Danio rerio: one gene and its partner. The protein of the gene in region 2 purifies or fractionates together with the protein of the main gene of each other region. This does not show direct contact. Links are inferred from orthologs where the notes say so. Each region holds a gene or a part of one and is shown on either strand. Other genes may lie near its edges.

Region 1 (3,831 bases), about 26 Mb from region 2:
AAACAGTAAAACAGTAAAAATGTTGGTGTATGTAAAGTGTGTGTTTCTTACTGATGTGCGTGTGCAGGCTGGAGTGTAACGCTGACAGTAGAGCGAGTGCCGGTGCCAGAAGAGCTTTCTGCTCCTGCAGGATGAGCGGTGGATCGTCCGGCTGACAGAAATCCTCACAGAGCAGCTCACAGACGAACGTCCACACTGCAGAACCACACGACTCATCTGAAACTGCAGATCAGGTACAAATCAGACCAAAAGAAAAAAAAAAAAACAATATTAATAATAATACATTTAAAAAAAAAATCTAACTATAGCATTGGTGGTTTGTTTTGTTTTTTTTGCATGCAATTATGCACATTTTACTGTAATTGCCCTAGTAACCACATAAAATGTGTAAGGATAAATGTGTAAAATAAACGGTTACTGATTTGAAGAAAAGTGAGATGTTTATCATAATTGCAACATTTTATCAGCATCATAGTCATAAAACAAATTTAGGGCTTTAAAATAACAAAAATTATGATGATAAAAAGATATAATTTATTAATATTATATAAAATTAATATTAATACAATAATTTGAATGATTTCCCAGTACTGGGATGTGGCTGGAAGGGCATCCGCTGCATAAAAAATAAGCTTGAATAGTTGGCGGCTCATTCCGCTGTGCAAATCCTGATAATTAAGGGACTAAGCCAGGGGTGTCCAAACTCAGTCCTGGAGGGCCGGTGTCCTGCAGATTTTACCTCCAAACCTAATCAAACACACTTGAACAGCTAATCAAGCACTAACTAGATATACTAGAAACTTGCTGGCTGGTGTGTTGAAGCAAGTTGGAGCTAAAATCTCCAGGACACTGGCCCTCCAGAACCGAGCTTGAACATCCCTGGACTAAGCGGAAGAAAATGATTAAATAATTTAGATGAATAAATAAATCATTATATACCGGTCAGGGCCGGAGTGGGACTCATTTTCAGCCCTGGAGTTTCAAGCCAGACCGGCCCACCTCAGTTCAGTTTCTAATGGCACTATCACGTATTTTTCAAGAAAACTGCTGCTTTAGAAATTCAAATGTTCAACAGCCCTAACAGTATTTTATGTCTTAACAATAAAAATGAAAAAAAAAATTTTTCAGGGGAAATTCGAACACGGGTCCGCGGCTTTGAAACGCAACGTGCTTACCACTGGACCACAATGGCGCTATTACAGTGAGAGTAAAAAATAATTAATGACTTGCGACCCTTAAGACACAGCACTACTTTCTTTTGGTGGCTCAATCTTTTTCTCCCATTTTTAGATTTCTGATCAAGTTATGTCAGATTTATTAATGTAGTGAATCATTTGATTTTCATTGAGCAGGTGTATTTTTCATTTTATTCGAATTCTTATATTCACTAAGGTGCTGCTGTTTGGGGTCGATAGTTACATTATCATCATTAACGTTAGTTAACCTGCAGGCTGCATTTTTCTCACGGGGCTGCGAGAAAATAAATAAAAAGAAGCTGCACTGCGGCAAAATAATGAATAAAAAGAGTGAAGCTTTGCCAAATAAATAAATTGAAGTAAAAAGTGTGACTGCTGAGAGTGCAAGCAGCTAGGGACACCGGCCCTCGCGGCCAAAAAACAGACCGGCCTACAGGGAATTCTCCCGGTCCTCCCGATTAGCCAATCCGGGCCGGATAAAGGTTAATTATTAACATTTTTAAAACAAATAAAAGACTGATACCGAACTACAACATGTACATTGTGTTCTCATAAATCAAAAGACTTAAATTGTACTAAACAGAGTTTTTTGAGATTTGAAATTAGCCACTACTTTTCTGTGAGGGATGGGGTAAGATAATATACAGTCTGTACAATATAAAAATCATTATGTTCAGTAAAAGTCATCATAAACCACACAGAAAAACAAACAAATAAAAAAATGTGTGTGTGTGTGTGTGTGTGTGTGTGTGTGTATCTCACCCAGAGCCTGCATGCCCTCCTCTACTGTAGTCAGCAGCTGAAGTGAATGCAGATACACTTCCAGAGCCTCCGGACTCTCTGATCTAAAACACACACAAACACACATTTCCATCACCCTAAACTCAGATTTCCAGCTAAAACGCTGGTTGGTAATCCCCTCGGCAGGTTTTCCTGTACTGTGCGTCTTACCTGAGCTGCTTGGCGGCCTCCAGCAGAGAGGACAGGATGTCCGGCTGGTTGTCTGTCTGCAGGTCAGTCCCGCTGTGTGAGGTGGACACCCAGCTCTTCATCAGCTCCTCATCCTCATCGAAGAGCTTATCCAGCAACTCCCCAACCTTCAACAGCAAATCCACTGCGGAGATACAGACACATGGAAGAGTCCACAAACTTCACAGACACAGGTAACCATGTGATTAAAAGAGTTTGAAAGGTTTTCACACACATCACGTAACTGCATTATAATTATATGTATATATGTACTATTAATTCACTGTAATTGATACAAGTTGATAATCAGTTGATTGAAGCAGAAGTATTTATTAATAAATGTTCACCTTTACATTTTTTAATATATAAATATTTTTAGAATTTGTGTTTTCTTTAAAACACCATGTTTTTGTTTCTTACTGTCATGATTACCAGCGATCATTTCCCATAAGATCGCTGGTTTGCACCTACAAATACCATGGACTACAAATCCACCATTTCTGGACTACATATTCATACATGCACTCCGGTCACACTCGCACATGCTTCCTCATCTAGACTGATTACATTCACACCACCTGAAGATTGTCAGAGACTGATTAACACACACTAATTAAGCCACACATTCACCCCTTCAGTTTGCCGAGTCTTGTTATCTGTCACTAGTAACACTACAACGGGTTTTGCCTGTCTTGTTATCTTGTGTACCGACCGTTAGCCTTGTTAGCCTCTTTGTCTTTGCCTGCCGCCTGCCTTTCTGACCTCTAGCCTGTATTCGACTGTGATTCTGGACTGTTTCTAAATACCTGTTTGCACCTGTGTTGACCATCGCTTGCCTGACTTTGAATAAACCTGCATATACCTGAGTTGTTGGTGTTACTCCCTGACGTAACACTTAAATTAATGTACTTACTAAATATCACATTTTGATAGTTGTAAATATTATATATAATAATCTATAATATTTTATTTAAACAACAGTTTTGTCTGGTTCTTGAATCTGATTGGCTGATAGCCGTGCCATATTCTGCAATAACAGCATATGTACAGCCTCCTCACTCTTCTGTATTACTCCGCCCACATACAGCGACAAGAGGACACTTTACAGTTTGACAAATATTGCAGCTATTAGACAACATAATGTACTTTTAAAGCTTTTTTAGTCGAAAATGTAGTTGTGTAGATTGCAACTATGCAGTTTATTTATAAGATAAAATGCCTATTTTAAAATATTTATCCTTTCTGGGAGACAGCACGTTGGCATCAATTAGCCAAAGCTGGTTGACGTTGTCTATCCACAAGATGGCGCCAGGACTGCATAATAAGCCCTTGCTTAGAAGATTAAAACAGCATATTTCTAACTACAGCTGATCAAATCATTATCAAACTGGTAAGTGATATTCTAAGGGTGCTTTCACACCTGTGAATCGATTCAGTTGTTCCGAAACAGAGATTACAATTGTTACATTTTTGCTCTTGGAGCGGTTCGCTTTCACACTGCAAAGTTTCTAATCGGATCAAAAGAGCTAAAACTAGTCATGTGTGAGTAAACTCTCCTTACATTAGTCAGAGTGTCAGGGTTTATTTTGCAGCTTCCCGCTAAACTGTCAGGAGAGGTGGTGGTTTGGTGGTGATTGACAGGGTGCGCGCGCGACGTGTCTGAGGA
Region 2 (3,831 bases):
AAAACCACACAAATTGGCGCACATAAGTCATTTTTGTCCAGCTCCCATGATGAATGAGGGAACAGTATTGAATTGTGGGTAGTTTACCTTATGAAAAGAATTGACAGTACCGACGGCCCCAATTTTGCCAGCGTAGTTCAAGAAGCCCAGAGTTCCTTCAGTTGAGCCGTAAAATTCTTTGATTTCAACATGACCGAATCTGTTTATGAACGTCCTCCAGATATCCGGCCGGATGCCATTCCCAATGGCCATCCTGACGTTGTGCACTTGGTCACTAACACACTTGTAGAGCGAGAGAACAAACATGAGGAAAAAACAGCATATTATAAAGATAGAGCACAGAGGAGGAGCAGAAAAACCAAAAGGGCATTAAAAAAGTGGGAAAAGGAGAAAACACTGAACTATTGAAATGTATTTAATACTTTGTGATGACAGCTTAAAGACACCTCTCATATGGAGAATGAAGTCACATGCATTTCTCAGCTGTGATATTTTCACAGACTTCAACAGAGTGTCACAATCAAATCGTCTGAATCAAATCTGATCTTGATTTCTTTTTCAATTGGATTTACATCAGGTGATTGGCTGGGCCATTATACAGCTTGATTTTCTTTCTTGATTTGAGAGTTTCCTTGGCTGTGCTTAGGATCATTGTCTTGCTGAAATGTCCTCCCTGGTTTCATCTTAATCCTCCTGCTGATGTAGATGTTGGAATGAAGCAGCTGATATTCATTTACGATGGTCGCTGAAGAACTACTGAGAGATTTCTGCTGCTGTCTGGGCCTTCACTGCCTTTCTACACCTCCCTTTCTTCATGTGTTCAATACTTTTTTCTTGGGTTATTTCATTTTATTACACATAACTTCATTTGTAATCTAATAAGTTTTGTTGTCTTTGTATATATGGATTTCTTAGGTTGATACCAACATCTGGTGAAAATTTCAAGCCAACGGAACCTTTAGAAATATGTTTTCTGAGAAAAAAGTCAGCAGCAAAGCTTTTTATTTGATCTGTGCATTCTCTTTATTTTCAAGTTACAGTGAGGGAAATAAGTATTAAACACGTCACTACTTTAGTCAGAAAACATATTTCTAAAGATGCCGTTGACTTGAAATTTTCCCCAGATGTTGGATACGACCAGAGAAATCCATATATGCAAATATAATTCTAACAAATATTACTGATTAACAAATGAAGTTCTGTCTAACAAAATGAAATGGCACAGGAAAAAAGTTTTGGACACATGAAAAAAGGAAGGTGTAGAAAGGCAGTGAAAGCCCAGACTGCACCTGAAATTCCTCAGAAGTTCTTCTGCAAACCTTTGCCCATCGTCAGTGTAAATGAATATTACCTGCTTTAGTCAAACATTTACATTAGCAGGATGAGGAAGATGAATCCAGGGTGGACTTTTCAGCAAGACAAGGATCCAAAACACAGCCAAGGAAACTTGCTTTCAGAGAAAAAAAATCAAGCTGTAGAATGGCCCACCCAATCCCCTGAGATGAATCCAATATAAAATACAAAATAAAGATCAGACTTGATTCAGACGATTTGACTTTACTAGTCAAAGTAAATTTAGAAATCCCTTTGTTCTTTTTTTCATTTGCGTTTCCATACTTCTGATTTGGGTTTGCATTAGTTCAGTGTGCTAGACTACTTTAACCCTTTAACAGGCATCATAACCACTGGTTGACCAATGTGGCCATTACCGCCGTGGCTTATACCGACGGCACTTTAAATGGGCAAGCATGTGTTTTTAATGTATGACCGCAGTTTGTGAATATGCCGCCAGGGGGCACAAAGGGACGTGATGCAAATGGACAGAAATAGCCTATACAGCAGCTGTAAATATGCTACTGTGCTTATAAATGAAGATGAAATGATAAAACAAAGCATTATAATTCCTTCATTAATCATAATCAAAATTTGTTAACACCCTTTATTATCATTGTACACTAGTTAAGTGCAATGAGGATTCACTTTGGAAAGTAGAAATGAAGAATTAAAAGACAACTAAAATGAAAGCACAAACATTCGGTACAAATAAGTAGGCCTAAATAAATAAACAAAGCAATATTTTAGCCTAAATAGAGAGATGTTCAGCGTTTGCTGTTTTGATAGGACTAAGACAGTCATTAAATAAGCTTTTTCATTTGTTTTTATTTACATTATATCTCATATTACATCATATCTCATTTTATGTCTCAATTATTGTACATAATAATAAACAAATATTAAAACATTAATGAATAATGAAAATTGACCTAAATAATTATTTATTTTAAGACATTGCAGCGAAACACTCAGAAACGGTCTGGTGCATGGTCTAAAGAGCTTAAGTTGAATGCTGCTTCATCAAAAGCATAAAAATAAATTGACCTACCTCAAGCAGATCACTAAAAGTATAATAAAAATAAATAAAGTCCCGCAAATTAAATAAATTAAGCCGCAAGTTTAGTTTTATTAATGTAGTTTCAGTTCAGTTTGTTTTCGAAACGTCTATGTTCTCCTTTAAAGTATAATTGTTGTTTAGTTTAGTTTTTCTACTTGTAGTAATGGCTCAGTACCTTTTGTATTTTAATTTCAATTTCACTCACCTCACGTGTGAAATATAATGAGCGTATAACCGCGTAAAAAGAAGGAAAAACTGTTAAAGGTTAGAGCTAATTCATCAAAATTAGCTATATGCTAATTTTGCTATAGTTATCATTATCATTTTAATTGATTCTTACTATTTTTTAGAGTTGTGCCAGCATATTATTCAATACAAGATGTGGACCAAAAAAAGTGCCCCTTTAAGGGTTAATGACCTTTCCTTGAAAAAAAAAACAAATGGAAGATTTCAGAAAGGCGGAAGTCTGTAGCTGCGTCCCAAATGGCACACTATACACTATGCACTCATGCACTATGTACTTATGCACTTACACACTCAACAGGATAGTATATGTATGTAGTGTCGTCCCAAATGGCACACTAATGTTTTTTTTACTAAGCGGAAATTCAAACCGTTTTCCTGATGACGTTTGACAGTCGCCATATCAGTGAAATAAACGACCGAATTATCAAATAATACCTGCCGTGAGTATTGCCGCAATCACTATCGGGAGGTGCTATAATCACTCTCGTAAAAGAATTTTGCTTTCACCATCCAAATTAAATAAAGTTATTCAACATGTGCGTCCGATAGCTCCGCCCCTTCCGCTACGTAAGCAAACCTGCGGTCGTTGAGTGCGTGAAGTGTCCATCATTACACACTTAATTTTAGCGGCTGAATGAGTGCATCATCCGGGTAATTAAAGTGCACTTATTATTTTTAGAGTTTTCAGTGTGAACGCACTACTTACACTATTTATACTACAAAATGGCGTAGAATAGTGCATAAGTATGGGATTTGGGACGCAGCTTGTATGTTTGCTGTGTGTTTTGAGGTCATTTTGAATGGCTCCACATTATATATATGGATTCTTTCTTTCATCATTGCTTTCTGGAGAACGTAACAGCTTAACAACACAGCTTGTTCAACTCTTGGCTATAAAGAGAAATCTTCAGCTAGCAAAACTTTCTCTTCAAATGGTTAAAGATGTAAACAGTAAGGTTGTGTGATCATTGTGTGCAGTTTGGCTTTTTAAATGCTGCTATACCTTTGGCATGTTGCAGAGGTAGCGCATGGTTTCTCCAATATACTGAATCACAGTGACGTTATACTTTCTGCAGTCGTCCCAGAACTGAGAGGAAGAAAACTTGCTCCTCAGGACAATCGTGGCTCCTAAAGGGGAAAAAAAAAAAAAATAATAATAAACTATATACTGTTATTGAACATTGGTTGCCGTG

What was found.
Region 1: the proteins of slc27a2b (region 2) and saal1 purify together in Homo sapiens (co-immunoprecipitation; 3 studies listed by BioGRID and IntAct, with this or other methods). This does not show direct contact. The link is inferred for Danio rerio from reciprocal best matches to the Homo sapiens genes SLC27A2 and SAAL1.

What each region holds. Positions count from the first base shown.
Region 1 is NC_133200.1:8,891,898-8,895,728, forward strand, and holds part of saal1 (protein saal1), read right to left. Parts: intron 2,360-3,831; exon of another isoform or gene 2,311-2,359; coding exon 2,148-2,310; exon of another isoform or gene 2,042-2,147; coding exon 1,959-2,041; intron 234-1,958; exon of another isoform or gene 223-233; coding exon 52-222; intron 1-51. UniProt on the Homo sapiens protein: Plays a role in promoting the proliferation of synovial fibroblasts in response to pro-inflammatory stimuli.
Region 2 is NC_133200.1:34,731,775-34,735,605, forward strand, and holds part of slc27a2b (very long-chain acyl-CoA synthetase precursor), read right to left. Parts: intron 3,767-3,831; coding exon 3,642-3,766; intron 283-3,641; coding exon 88-282; intron 1-87. UniProt on the Homo sapiens protein: Mediates the import of long-chain fatty acids (LCFA) into the cell by facilitating their transport across cell membranes, playing an important role in hepatic fatty acid uptake.